Oreochromis niloticus: one gene and its partner. The protein of the gene in region 2 interacts with the protein of the main gene of each other region in a biochemical or structural test. Links are inferred from orthologs where the notes say so. Each region holds a gene or a part of one and is shown on either strand. Other genes may lie near its edges.

The links.
Region 1: the proteins of rela (region 2) and pparg form a complex in vitro, tested with the Homo sapiens proteins (3 studies listed by BioGRID, with this or other methods). The link is inferred for Oreochromis niloticus from reciprocal best matches to the Homo sapiens genes RELA and PPARG.

Annotation. Positions count from the first base shown.
Region 1 is NC_031970.2:18,929,451-18,937,459, reverse strand, and holds the start of pparg (peroxisome proliferator-activated receptor gamma), read left to right. Parts: upstream 1-4,905; 5' UTR 4,906-4,934; coding exon of another isoform or gene 4,935-4,986; intron 4,987-8,009. UniProt on the Homo sapiens protein: Nuclear receptor that binds peroxisome proliferators such as hypolipidemic drugs and fatty acids.
Region 2 is NC_031967.2:4,865,042-4,872,748, forward strand, and holds the start of rela (transcription factor p65), read left to right. Parts: upstream 1-4,659; 5' UTR 4,660-4,861; coding exon 4,862-4,868; intron 4,869-6,622; coding exon 6,623-6,658; intron 6,659-6,828; coding exon 6,829-6,962; intron 6,963-7,707. Other genes in the region: serine/threonine-protein phosphatase PP1-beta catalytic subunit, read right to left, coding at 2,781-2,832. UniProt on the Homo sapiens protein: NF-kappa-B is a pleiotropic transcription factor present in almost all cell types and is the endpoint of a series of signal transduction events that are initiated by a vast array of stimuli related to many biological processes such as inflammation, immunity, differentiation, cell growth, tumorigenesis and apoptosis.

The DNA of each region.
Region 1 (8,009 bases), on a different chromosome or scaffold from region 2:
TTTTGCTATGTCCTTTTTCTCTCAGCATATATATTTATTTTCCTTTAGATGAAAAATACTAAGGCATCCACAAAAGTCTCCCTAACAAATCTACAATGCCAGAAGGCTTACTGTATATCAAAACATTGCAGAACTTTATATCTTACACAGTCAGAACAATATTTACATTTTATGAACACTTTAAAGTAGAAAAATGATCATTTGCCAGTAGCATCACATAAATTTAAGCGAGCGAGGTGTGAATTAATGATGTCTTGTGGTGTTTTATTTAAGAGGCACTGGGTTGAATTTTCTCTTGTGAGCCAGCAGATGGCACTGTGTATATGTGGAAGTGCTGTCAGTTGTGTACTTGTCATTTCTCAAGATCAGCATTTTATCATTTTTATTACACTATTAAAGAATACCTTCCATATAAAAATACCTTACACATCTCTAAAGATGTCTCTAAAAATATTACTTATACATACAGACGTGTGTAAAAACACATATTAATGACACTTTAAAAAAAAAAGTTCTTTGTCATATTTTCCTCATCCTGTTCTTCTTTCATATCCTGCCTTTAATGTCACGCTTTTGTCACACTTTAAGAAGGCGAGTGGTGGAAGGGCCCTTTTCACATGTGCCACTTTAGCCTTTAACATAAACCACAATACTTTTGCGTGAAACGGAACTTTTGTTTTCCTCTCTGTTGTGTAAAGAGGCAGACAGTGTGTTTACTGTATGCAGCATAAAAAATCTGACATAATCAGATGCTTCATCTACATCACAAAGGGTTTCAAGGTAACATCAAGTTTAAACAATTTTTTAAAATTAGAAAAAAGAACCAGTTCTTCAACAAAGTCTGGGAGCGCTTATAACATGACACACACGTGTACAAACAGACACACTTTATATACAGTGTGTGCAGTCAGGACAGAGGAAACACACTTTGCTTTTGGCTCTTGGTCCATGGGGCAACCAGTCAACAGAGATCTGTGGGAACGTCTCCATCACGTTGCTCAAAGGGACATTTATGTGGGCGGCTAACGCACCAAGCAAGCCTATACTAGCCAAATCCTGTTTGTCTTGGTGCTCATCCCAACCTGCTGGAGGGAGAGATGGGAGATTAAATGTTATAATCTAAAGATTTAGTTCATTTGTCATCCCATACATAAGAGCATGGAGGGACAAATCAAGCCAGTTTGTCCGATTTCTTCTGCCGTAACGTTAACTGTGAGGGTTTCAATTTCCTCACTAAAAGCCACATTGATTTTGAGCAGCTTGCACCCCTCGTAAGCCTGAAAAATGACAAGTCTTTTTCACTTTATAATAATCATGACAGCGTAGGAGAGCCCTGTTAAGATACACAAGTACTTTCATGATGAACATTTTCAGATACCAGAGCTCGAGTCTGCAGGGATTCGACTGTATAAACAATCAGAAATTATTGCTTTGCTTTGTTTGTAACAGCCAAACTCTCAGGGGTGTCATTTTTTTTTATCTCTGCAAAAAAAGAAAGAAATTCTGCATGGGGAGGATGTTATGCATGTGAGACAGAGTGAGAGAATGTGTGTGTGTGTGTGTGTGTGTGTGTGTGTGTGTGTGTGTGTGTGTGTGTGTGTGTGTAAATAACCAAAGTGTAGCAGCTGTCTCAGTCCACCATACTGAGTTATAATAGATCAAAGGCAGCTAAACTGAAGCTCACTGTTGCACTCACAGGGTAGCAAAATTAACAGCTGCATTTACCTGCGTTTTGAAACTGTTTTGTTTTTTTTGGGGGGTTTTTTTAGAATTGATTGCAGTGTTGAGCAGTGAGTGGCAGGGCTTAACATCAGTTGCGTTGAATTGCTTCAAAAACAGGTTGAAACGTCTGCTCACACAAATTCTACCTTGATGTTTGAGAAGTAACACCGTCAGGTATCTGTTCACACGTTTGCTTTAGTTTGGTTTTGACACAAATCCCACTACAATTTTTGGACTTGTTACATTTTTATTGAAAGACCTTCTAAGAATTCTAGCATATGCTATAGATTCATATTTATTTGTTGCAATCACAGTGACACGACGACGGTCTCTATTGCAAACCAAAGATTACAGTTTGCTAAAATAACTTCCTGAAAAACCATGAATGCAAACCAGGACATGTAGTTGTGCACATGCTGTTTCAACGTCATAGACAGCCACCTCAAAGCGAGCAGCCCCAACAGGTCAGACTCTGGTCAAATGACCAAAAAAAGGGGGAAGGCAGCTTTATTCCTTTGTGTGTGTGTTTTCTACAGGCCTCTTTGTACTTGTTGGGCTATTGTACATTTCAGCACTGGTAAAAGTTTAAAACAAAATCTAATATGTGTGTTTGTTCATGGATTTTGTTTAGCGAGCAGTACTCATGCAATGGCACATTTCAGTCTGAACACCCACCTGCACCGTGAGTGCTGAGATGCTTCATTCGTAATCTTAAGAATAGCTCCTTCAGTCTGTGGTAAGCAGGGTATTTACAGCAGTTCAACATCCGATATGTAGTCAGATATAACAAAATGTGATTTCAAGATAAGAGCATTAAAAAACACGAACCACATCTGCTTTCAGTCAGCAGTGTAAAAAAATTAAAAGTAGCCCTTAGATTCTGTCATGTCTGGTTTTCAGTTAAAAACAGAGCGAGCTTTTTGTTGAGGTTAGTCAAAGATCCTTAAATCTACAACAAAGTCTAAAAAGATGCAGCACGTAGGCAAATTTACTATTCATTGTGCACCTGTTTTTGCACTGAGTCTCAGCAGGCTAGCTGACTGTCCGGATGGAGTTTCATGAACTAAGTGATGCAGCAGAGTAAAATTTCAGCTTCAGTAAACACATGAGAGGGTCGACAGGATGTTATCTGCTAAACGACACTCGCAGGATTTCCTAGTGAACTAGATGACTTAATTGCACAGTCAAATGATCACCCTGTTGTCTTTCAGCAGGTGAATTCAGTCCTGTCTTCTAAGACCAAAGACTGCGATGTCAGAAATATGACTGTAATCAGCCCGATAGTCATCACTGGTAAACTAAGTGACTAAGAGGGGGGGGGCCCGACAGGCAGCAACAAAACAAGCAACCACTTACTGTCAAGTGACTGCATATTAAAGGAACAATTGACTATTATTGGGGAATGGACTTAATATCGAAAGTTAAATTAGTTGGTTAACAGCTTAGTACAGCTGCTACTTATGAAGTAGTTACAAATTAGCTTTCAGATTTGATGTACACAAGACGTCAGCTTAGAAAACACGTTGCACTGTTTTCGATTAAGCTACCGACCAGTACTCTAAATAAAACGAGCCCCACCTTTAAAAAACTACATCAACAAACCCGTGCTTACACGTGAATGCATCAGTATTAGTGATCCAATAATATCAAACAAGACTAATCCAAGCTATGACGTCTCAATGTGCGCCTTTTTTTCTCCATAATGAAACCTGTCAAAGTTTAAGTATATATAATTGAGTAATGGATTATTTTTATAACTATGCTAGTGAATCACGACATATGACTTACATTAAACTGAATTGAATTTTTCTTGCCACGTTCAACTGGTTATCTTAGTAAAAATAAATAAATAAAAATAAATGTAAAAAAAAAACAAACTTACCAAATAAAGTGTAACCTTACTTGCTTAATCTGCAAAACCAGTATCTAAAAGCCGAACTACTTCTTGGAGGGGAACAATACTTTAAAGAGACTCACTTGTTCCATACACAGTTCCCGGAAAAAAAAAATAGCGTGACACATAGCAGGTAAATGATATACGAATGCAGTTTACTATTGGTGCATCTAAGTTAGAGCAGCTTTTCACAAGTGGTAAGCGGATTTTATTAGTTTTTAACCATACCAAAAGGTGATTTTTTTTCTTTTCTTTTAGCAGTCTTTGGTCTAAGGTAATCCACTGAGCTCTTGACTACTGTTAAAATTATATCAAACTATCTTAACTACCTGCAAGTTAAGTGAATATGTGCTTTGCTGAAGAGGTGGAACTATTCCTTTAAGTTATTTGTTCCACATGGCTAAACACCTAAGAAACAACACTTTTAGGTCTGAATTTTACATTACCTGTTTCTCCCATATGGGGCAAACAACTGAGAAAATCCACTATAATGGGTAATTTGATGCCTCTGCCTGTGTCCTCACGATCCCGATCGGTTGTGTTGAGAGGAGGGAGGAGAGAGAGCGAGAGAGAGGCAGGCTGACACGACCACAGCTGCTGCTGCTGCTGCTTGAGCAGAAAACCGCACAGCAAACACGCCGGACCTCTTTGACGCCGCGCTCCGGTGCGCACGGTGCGGACGCCACGGTTTGTTTGGGTTTTCCGTTGTTTGTTTGGGGTTTTTTTTCGAGTTTTGAAAGAAATTAACAACATCGAAAATAAAAGACAAACCATCCAGCTTCAGAAACAGAGAGTGTGCGCTGTCTCCTCTGCGCCTCAACACACCGATCAGGTCAGTCACCTTCCGGTCGGCACAGTATGCTGCGCTGAGTGTTGCGGTTGTTAGGCTGGGTGAGAAAATACGGGAAAGCACCGTAAAAAAGGGGGGGGGGGTGTATTTAAATTATTGAAGACTGGGTTAATATTACACTGTTGCAGTCTCATCTGATATTAAATATTCGTGCACGTTAACCAAAAAAGACAAAAGAAAACATGTTTGCGGTGATTTGGTTCAAAAGTAGTTTAAACAAGTAGATTCAAGCTGGAGACTTGTTGATTTATCCAGCTGTGTCTAAATCAGTATTGTCCCCGGTCTACATGTTAAGGTGGACACGCACAGGTAGCCTACAGTGTGACAGGATGGCTGTGGCACACAGATTGGGGGTGGCAATGACGGGGGGAGGAGGGGCGGGGGGCGGCCACAGGACTGACAACTGACACAAAGTCAGGTGTTGAGCCATAGTGTGCCTGAGGGCCATAGTGTGAGTGTGAGCTTGACATGCAAACACCAGGCAGAGATTTTACCCATCAAACTGACCACAGCTTCTCAGGTGAGTGCGAGGAATGCTTTGTTTGTTTCTGTGTATGTCGTGCTGAGAAACTTTGTAGAATAAGCATTTCATAAGCATTTATCTGAGTAAAAGAGGCTTTTTACAGGGCCTGTACAGTACATATGTGTATGTGTACTTCTCTGAAGTCTATACCTTTTGTGTCATACGTGGAATTTGTGGATATGTCGCACACGCTTCAGGCAGTTCTGTGTTCTTGGAATTGACAGGAAAATAATGGTGGTGACTCAGCAATATTGTTGACTGGAGCTCAGACTTAAACACTCGTTTCTCTTTGAGGCTTGCTGCGCGGCTCTGTGATAGATGATGTGAACTGTTAAACGTCTCGGTGGTATTCTTTTAAGACTCAGTAATGACACACGGTGAGAAAACTTGTAAGAGCCCCGTGTAAAGCGTAAGAGTGTCACAATAAGTTCACCTGTTTTCCTCATCGCTTTGTATGATCTTCATGTCAGTCGTCTCATAACACTGTGGGGTTGCTGGAAGAACATTCAGAGATATTTTATAACAGCAACAATCACTATTTTATCCATTATATCCTTCAAATCACAACTTTTCGTTCAAAACTTAGTTTGCTATTTACATGCACAAGGGCATTTCAGACATTTTTCATGTGTTTGGTCTGTTTACTTTCCTCTGAGTCTATTAGATGTTACATTTAACATCACAGCAGGCTTATTGTCACAGTATGTTGACCCTCAAAACCAAAAATTGGGAATCAATTGAAGGCAAATGTAAAAACAGCTCCCCAAGTGAGTAAGTACATGTCAGTGGTAGTAAATGAGCTGAAGCAGTCATGTTTTATCATAATATTCAGCAAAGATAAAGATAGTGGAAAATCAGCAGCAATATATTTTTAACAATTAAGTCAGAAAGTCAGAGAAACAGTGTCGACAAAACGGGAGTTATTTTATTTAAATATAGTAGTAGTACATTTTTAAGGGTGATCTCAAGTAACAGATCCTGTGAATTATTAGACATTTAGCAGAATGATCTCACAGATTAAACGGCCATGCAACGTGACCCTTGATGTAATACGGCTATTTTAAAATCAGAGAACTTCTGATAAAATTGTGGGTGAGAAATAAGAGAAGTTATAAAAAGGTTATTGTTTTGTTTTTTTCATTTTGTTGAAGTGATTTCATGTAAGTTTGGTAATACTGTTTGAAAAAGACTTTTTTGTTAACTTTTTGAATCTTTTGTTTCGCTGTGTCTGATTCAAATATTTGTGTCTAAAATCTCCAGGAACTCTTATCAGTTAGAGAAATATATCATATCTTTGGTGAAATTAGCCTTTAATCTCTGCATACGCTGCTTAAAATCTGACTACCCAATTGAGTGTGTTGATACATCATCAATCAGTGCCTTATTGCCTGTCGGGTTATATAACTGCAGAAGTGAGGTGTGTGTGTGTGTGTGTGTGTGTGTATGGGTGTTGGTGTGTGTGAGAGAATGACTGTGATAGATTTGGACTTTGCTTAGTTGCCATAAATGAAAGGAGTGCCTCAAGATACCATGCTATGTTTTTGTTGTCCATCACACGTGCTGAAAGTCTTGTTTGACTTTTCGTAGATGATATACTTCTGCACAAAGCCACAGATACAAAGTTCAGCCTCTTAAAAACACCTCCGCACAGACAATTGCCTTAGTTCTTGAAAATCTGTGTTAATTTAAAATCTATGATGAGAGAGTTGCCGCTCCTCTATGCAGCGGTTTTAAAATGTTGCAAAACTTCATTAAGAGCCAAGCATAATCACTGCATGAAAGGAAAGAAGACAGTCTGCGCATTTGTGTCTGCATAAAATCCATATAAAAGTGAATGGCACGTTCCTATACAGCCCACAGATAATTAACCACTTTTGTTTCTACACCACCAACACTTTGGTTTGTTTACTATATATCAGATTAACTTATTCTTACTGTGTTTTTCAAAAGCGCATGTTTGATTTACTTTTATCTGATGACATGCGTATTTGACGCAGTTTAGCCTTAAGGTCATGTATTTGTTTTTTCAATTGGGTGTAATTATTAACTTCAAGGCCAATCATTTCACCATTTACTGTATGTTTAAAGCAACATTTTGGCTGCGGAATTCTACTGACCGCCGAAATATGGGACACAAGCAGGTTATTTACAAATGAAAAATTCTGCTTTACTAGTTAAACTTTTATGTCTGGATCTCCCTTTCTTTAAACCAGTGTCCCCTCCTCTTTACTGTAAAATTTGTGTCTATACTGATTTTATTTGTACTGATGAGCATTATGATTTACTTGATTTTTAGCCCATTTTTGCAGGGTCGTATTTTTGCATTATTGTATATTTGGAGCTGATCAACATCAACTGTACATTTGGGAAATGTAAAAACGTCCCTCTGCTTAACATTTCACTATTTCTTAGACTGAATCAGAAGATTGAGTCTGAGGTTTAGCATGCTGAATGTGTTAGATGTGGGTTTTTTAATCAATGCAAATTGAGTCGACAGAACCTTTGGCAAGGTAAACTTTTTTGCAACCACAGCACCTGTTATCACTCTCGCAATGATTCCTAAATCACAACAACACCTGCTCCCTGAGAAGTGACTCATGTTTCTCATTTCTTTACATGCTGTCCTAAATAAATCTGTGTTTGTGTGGGAAGAGAACATGTTTTAGCTGCCAAGTGTAAACATGATGCCTTTCAGGTATTTCTCTTCTGATGCCCGCTTAAAATTGCCTCCTAAATTTTAGACTGTGAACATGAGGAATCACGTTTTCCTGGGGCTCATATTAAAGCCCTAATAAAGGCCCTAATTTTTATTAGAGATCTGTTTACTATTGTTTACTATTGGTATTGTCACGGATTAATCTACTGATTGTTATTAATTTAGAGTTCTCTGCAAAAAATGTAGGCATTTTATCCTGAATAATGAGAAACGATTTATTGAGCGTTAAACTTACCCCTGCTCAAGCATGTTAATCTGTTATCAACTTTCACGTGCTTGAAAACGAAGAGACGATATGTCTGGA
Region 2 (7,707 bases):
AATGCTCGCATGAATCTGAATACACATTTTCTTCTTCTTTAAAGGTGCTTAACCATTACTTAACCAAGTGTTTGGTCATTTTTATGAAAGCCAATTACTTAAAATTCACTATGTAAAGGTTTTCTTTACAATCCATAACAGAAAATCGAATACCTTTTACAGTTTTTCCCACAGAACTAAACGGGATTTACGATGAGAGCAGGTTGATGCATATGATTGTGTCTATATATCTAAATAATAGGAATACACAACGTTTGTGACCATTATTCATATTCAGCTGTCTACCCAGTTAGGACATCATACAGCAGACAATTCGACTATCCAGATCAACAGTAAGCGACAGTATTCCTCATTCTGCTCTGTGGTGTTCAGCATAACAGCATATAAACCACACCTCCACCTGCCACAGATTCTGGAGAAGCTCACAGAGGACTTCCAGAATAGACGAAGGCTACTGTTGCTAGATGCAGTCCACAGTGGTGGTGTTGAGTCTGTCCAATCACAGGACGAAAGACTCTCTGGGGAAGCAGCTCAGTGACATTGAGGGTTGCTGCAAAGATCACATCAGCCTGCTGGTGCAGAAACTGCTTAGCAGCAACTGCAGTCTCAGAATTATAGCAACTGGATTGGCCATGGATAAGAAAATAAAGACTGGCTTTGAAATTTAAAAAAAAAAAAAAAAAAAAAAAAAAAAAAAATTGCTAAAAGGAGTCCCAAATTATTCTTAGACAGGCATTAGTATACAAAAGTAACCTACAGAAGTAAATTCATTTCTGGGAAACACCATTTTGGAGTAAACAAGTAATTTAAATGCAGGAACATTGGGTTTACTTGGAGCCCTATTTTAATAAGATTTAAAACCTTTTGTTTTAAAAAAGCCCACAGAAACAATGTCAGATAATCTGATTACAAAAACATCACACCATCCAAACTGAAATGAGTATGCTCAACAAAATCTAGACATTGCAGCAATACTGGGAGACATTTCAAATGCACCCAGCCCATCTATTACTAATCACCGAGTATTTGTGACCCATCACCAGATAACTGGTTTCGTATACATCCAGTTTTGGTTATGAGTCAGAACTAAAAGCCTTCAGTACAGCTTATGATGCCCCTCTGATAATATGGTCACACCAACAAAAAAGCCAGACATTTTCAAATGGTTGCAGATGAAAAGTGAATGAAAGGAGATGGATAGTTGGATACATTGAGGGCTAACATCTGGAAGCTTTTAGGGCCAGATCCCTCCAATTTCCTGCAATGAAGTTAACTTCTAAACATGAAGCCAGCATACTATAGTCAATTCTTGCAGGCACAGTACTGTTACACTCTACAGATCACGCACAAAGAGAAAACAAGCACCATTATGTCACTGCTCCTGTCAGTCCAGATGATTAAGTTATACTGACATGCACTGCACATCTACATTGGGTTCAATCATTAGCAGAAGTTGCTTTCCATGAGATGATCTGGCATGAATGCTTGTTCACCACTGACTCAGAGAGATATAATCTCTCTGCTTATAATCTGTTTTCAAGAAATTATCATCTACATCGACTCCTCTGTCTGTCAGAATCCCTCATTTAGCACTGCTAAGAAAATCATCCCCTGCTGCTAGCCAACACATAACAATGGAGTAGGGGCAAAAACACTTTTACACAACAGCTCAGCAGCCCACATGCATATAAGCTACCACAGAATACAGAATTAACAAGTGTCTCTCTGGATAAAGTTGAACCACAGCTAGTATCGAAAAGATTCTTATTAAATATAGTACTGCTGACAAAATGTGTGTTCTTTATGATCAAAAGGCCAGCTGAACAAACTATATGCACTCGTTCATGGAATAAGAAAACACACGGAGTAGTAGAGCTAAAAGTTTGGTTTAGGTTTTGAACTCCTACAAGTATGTTTTAATGGGAATACTACTGAAGCCTGTGGCTTGTGTAAACATCGCCATTTAGCAATATGCGCCAGAAAACAACACAGAGCTGCAGTCTTCAGCTCAGAAACCCTTAAGCCAAATCCCATTTAAATATTTTGAATTTTTCTTAGAAGTAAAGACAAACCCAATTTTTAGAAATCAGAGGCAAGATTTTACTTCCTCGTGGATCAGGCAGCTGTTGGAACACTTTCGGCTACACTCAATCGTCAATCTAAACTTTATTTTTAAGGAAATGTCAACTTTTGCTGAGCATTTGCCCCTGAAGCTATCGCCCTCCACAGCGTATTTTGAACAGAGCTTTTGTAAAGGACCAGAGACTATAATAGGTTGAAAGACAGTAGAAACAACTTGCCAAGTATTTTATTTGGTGCATTCCAAAGAAATGCACCAAATAAAATTGATGCTGTGACATTAGTAAGACAGCACTTAATTACTATAATATTAGCTAGTTAGACTAAGATGGATAGTAAGATAGGTCTGACATTCTCTTCCATACTGGAGCCATCGAAGCACAAACAGCCCACTAGCAATAACTTTCTTACCACTCAATCACCCAAACCTTCAAAATGCAGTGTACAAAAAAGCTCGATCATAGCTGTATCCACATCAATTACAAATTAATCTAAAAAGAGCCGTGAAGGAAAGACGGCTGCTGAATAAAAAGGTGTGCCTGTTGTTAACGACAGTGAGGACCAGTCCTGCTCACTCCAGAACCGGGCAACGCTAACACGTAAAGCGGGCCTTTCTTGTCAAAAATGAAACCTAAATAAGTATTAGGGGCTAACACTGGGCAAAACAAGAATACATAAATAAAAGTTGGTTGTGAACTCACCCTCTAAAAGCCTGGAAATCAGCGAGTCGACGTCCAACTCCCCCTCCGCCATTTCTGTAACGAACAGCTCTGCCCGCCGCAGTCTGAAGCAGGCAGAGCAGACACCGCCTCAACGAACAGAAACCGCCTCCCTTTCGCGGCCTCCCATTTAGGGCAATTACGCCTCATTCAACTACGCCTCGGATATTTTAGTTTCTAGAGAAGAAAGGAGAACAGTGGACAGTTTTTTTTAATTTGAAAACATAGTAATCATATTCATAAGTTTCACGTACTTTTTTTCCTCCTCATTTTCTAATTCAAGCCTCAAATTCAGCTAATGCTATATAAAGTATGGCTCAACCATAAACATCGTGATATAAGGGTACAAAAATGTATTTGTATTAGAAAATAAGGGTAACCAAACAAACAGATGCTCAATTACATATTCACTGCATTTTCTTGCTTTTTACCTGTGATTTTCGATTGCGTTGAATGCGTCAGCTTATCCAGGGCTTCTTACAGCAACAATCATAATAATAACGATGCAAAAATTACCATTAGATATACTCTATTTATAATGAAACATCGTTTACCCTAAGAAAATCTGGATAAGTTTTCATTTTCACCACATTCTATCAAAGGACAGGTGTCCTAAAGGCCCTGATTTATTCACCTCGAGCGCCCCCTTCTGGTCAGGATATGTCAACACTTTAAGAGTAATGGTTTTGATATATAAATATTGTTTACTGATTCTGAGAGCAAAATTAGTCCTTTATTCACGTTACTTTGTCTTCAACTGGACTAAAACAACATGGTGAAATAATCGTTGATTAAAAAAAGAAAGAAAAAAAGAGTTTGAAGCCCTATCACTATTATCACACTGTATTAAGTAGACACTGATTTCTAGTGCAACCAGCAGACCAGAAACTTGTAACGTAAGACCGTGTGTGAAGGACAGGCCAGAAAAACACAGCAGCTGGTAAACTTGAGATCTGTATGTTGTGTCTGTTTACAGAGAGAAGAGGCCGAGAACCGACAGACAGGAAAAAAAGTGAGTTGGATCTTAATCTTAAGGCTCTTCCAGGTTATGACTCAAGCCAAGAGTTATGTTATTGCCTCTCCCACTCACTTATTTTTCAGTTTCTTTCAAGTGCGTCACTGGGTATTTCCGCACTGTTTTGAGTGGGTGGTGGCAAGTTGCACTGCAGAGAGAAGGCAGAGGTCTGCAACTGGATCAAGCTAGCCACAGCGCCGGAAACGACGCAATTTTCCCTCTTCAAAATAAGAGCATGTAGTTTCTTATGAGCAATTGCTTGTCCCTTGCAAAGAGACCAAAGTCTTAAAATAAGTAACGCACAATTGGCATACACTACTCCTATTACACCACAGTTCTGCTATACTAATGTGATTATAGTAATTATTATTATGGCACAACAAAAGCGTGAAAACCATGAAAACAAACTATTGATAATTTTGGACTTGGTAAAGGCAGTAATGTATGCTTTAAAAATAAAAAATAAACCAAGCTATTGTTCTCTTCACAGCTATTTCCGTTATCTTGGAAATTACCCCCCGAAAAAAAAAATCTGCCATGTTTTGATTTTGTGAGTTCACTACAAATTTGATTCATTTATTTAACATTTAGTGATAAAGCTAATAGCTGCCTACGTAGTAAATAAAAGGTGTTATCCAATTTCAGATTCTGCATTTCTAATAAACGTGGCACAAAAACAATGCCTACTATGTGAGAAAAAGACATCGCAATGAAGAGAACAAAGCACGTACTGTGCAGTTGCTGCAACTTGGCGACAGGTGTGTTGCACAAAAAATAAACAGAAAGTTGCAACACATCGCTCCCCAAATAGATGTTACTTACCGGAAACCCCGTGAGCATGAACGTAACTATCCCTGCGGCTTTACTAACTGTACACTCTCATACACAGACGTAGGTGGAGCGAAGGAGGCGACAGAGCGGCTCTGTCAAGAACTTCGTGGAGTCTGTAGTGCCGTGTTTCCTGCTCTTTTTTGGCTTTAAACAAGATACAAATTATTGAGAAACAGCGGGGGATATCGAGGAGCGTGAGCTGGACTTGGACACAGCTATGGACCGTAAGTGAAGCTGCTTTTATTTACTCATCTCAGACACGGGAGGTGAAACTGTACAGGGAGTTGTTTTGCGCACAAGGGAAAGCCCCGCTATCATTGGGTTTTGCGCCAACAGGAGGAGTCTGTTCCCGGATACTAAACTAACGTACAGACAGAAGTTTGACTTAACTTTGGTTTATCGCATACATGTGAGATAGCCGAGAGAAACTTGATGTTTAACTGAATGAATTTCTCAGCGTGTGGACAACTCAACTGGCACGAGCGGAGCGAACCAAACGGTCTCGCGCTGCCAAGAGGCCCGTGGGGTTTGTCCACTTGAGAGATTTCCTTCTAGCCACTGAAACTTCGTTCGGAAGTCTCGCCATTTAATGTTTTTCTGTTTGTAAGTGGAAATGCTCTTTGTGAATCACGCTCTCAAAAGCTTATCAGTCACAGTGAATAGTGTATTTTAAATTCGGCCTGGTTAAAACCACCGTATAACGTTCTTTTCAATAAAAAAGTCTCGTATTTAATTGGGCGACGCTGCTAGCAACCGCCCACACCGGCTTTAATTGACAAAAACGGTTCCGATAGGAAATTGTGGTAATAAGCTCTGTGTTCAGGAGAACACGTGTATGCAGATACTGTGAAGATTTCACAGCCGCCCCCGTTTCTATTTTATTCCATATATACCTTTCCCTTTAGGCTAAACCATAAACAAACGACATTTTATAATGGAGTTCTGTTGACTTCCTATGTTTAGAGTGCAGCCATACTTTATGCAAATGTTATAACCCTTAAAATAGATTATGTTTGTTGATAAGTGTCACTTATCTCTGTCTTGGATGTGGATATTGGCACGACAAACAGCCATCATCTGACTGAGCATCATAAAAAGTATGTCCCTTTGTTCGGTCAGTAAAAATGAAAGTGATTCTAGCAACAGTGTCGAAGACCTCAGGTGTGATGCTCTTAATTCAGTCATTAATGATCTTTCGATCATTGTGGGTATGTGCTTTCACTTTCACATCATCCAGACTCAGTAAGTAGAAAAGACTGTCTTTCACATAAGTGGTCAAAATGCAGTCATTACAGACTTATGTCATCCATTTTTTAAAAATGTTTGTTTGTTATTTTTAGTCTTGACTTTGGGGCTTTAGGCAGCCTCTTCATTCAATATTATTCTGGCATTTTAGGTATGATCAGAACCTAAAAAGCAAGAATAATGTCTTTGGGCTGAAGCTAGAAAGCAAACATGTTACAGCATGGAAAGGACTCTACTCAAGCTTTTGAACTGAACCAGTCCTGCCTGCTGATGGGTGGAGCTTTGATCAACTCATCCAGTGTCACACCTTACTTATTGCCTGAAACTGGAGTGCTCCCTGCACTAAAGGCTTCCAGCAACAAAGCTGGTAACCTGACACCAATATTAAAAGCCCTGCCTGTCATTGTTTGCCTTTTTCTGCACTTCGTCTCCTTCTCGGTAGCTTTGCAGGCAAGTGGTTTATGACAACCAGAGATTATATTTAGCTGGGAGGCCCTTGTATCTCGGCGTCCTTCGACCCCGTTGGACGCTGCACTCTCTTGTAGAATTCCACCCTGACCTCACCACAAATGACAAACTCTGACTAAACCACAAATATGCAACAAATCTGTTTTCTATTATTTTTGTCATCTCCACCACCACTGTGTGCTTCCTCGTGTAAGTCGTAGATGGAAAACCTGCAGTTTTTCTCAATAAGTTGGTTAAATTCCGTTCTTGTTTCTGTTCATCACAGCTGGATATGGATGGAGCCTTACCCCGCTCAACCAGGGTAAGCGCACTTTCCTTTTTAAAAAGAATTACTGATGTTCTCTGCAGTGATTTCATGAGTAAACATTTCTACCCTCGGGTGTAGTGACGATCGATGAGGCTGTATCTGTGTTGACACACGTAAAGCAGTATTTCACAATGAGCACACAATGCCTTTGCTTTCCTCAACAGCTCCCTACATAGAGATTATCGAGCAGCCAAAGCAAAGGGGGATGAGATTTAGGTACAAGTGTGAGGGACGGTCTGCTGGCAGCATTCCCGGAGAAAAAAGTAATGACACCACTAAGACCCACCCAGCAATCAAGGTGTGTTGGTTCATTCGATTCATTAAATATCATTTACGTTACAGATAATATACACATTGGTGAAGATTTAGGTGCATGCAGCCACAGCAACTGTTTCCATAGTGACTCATGTATGTCAACTGTACATTTATAGTGGAGAAGGTCAGTGCTGAAAAAATGCTTTCTCCAGCTGAAACATCTGTTTTTCTTGTTGAATGTTAGGAACACAGACTGTATATGTGTGATGGATGTAGCAAGCCCAATTAAAGGGAGCTAAAATATTTTTTTACACCAGCTGCTAGATTTAAAAGGACAAATACATTTGAATTTCAATAAAACAACACTTCTTACATCTCTTTTCATACAAGAAATCCAATATTGTTCATAAAATACTATCCTTTTTCTAGGATAAGGATAATCAGACATTAGAAGTTTAGTTAAATCACAACAGAATGTACAGGTGTGCATAAGAAGCAGCTGCTTATAGGTGGTTGTTGGTAGAAATTCTCTGCTTTCCCTCATTTCATGTAAAAAAAATATATAATATATATATTTTGTTGATCATTTCAATTGAAAACGTAATTTCCAGAAGAAAACATTTTTCCTACAATATCGGCAAAATTAATTCTGGACTATGAAAGAATGGAGTGATGTTATCAGCTAACGCTAACAAGCTTGGTTTGCAAGTTGCATCTGTTAGTACAAATTCATAAACCCAAACTGAAGAATGGACCTGTTGGATGTGCAGTTAGTGCAGATAACTTAT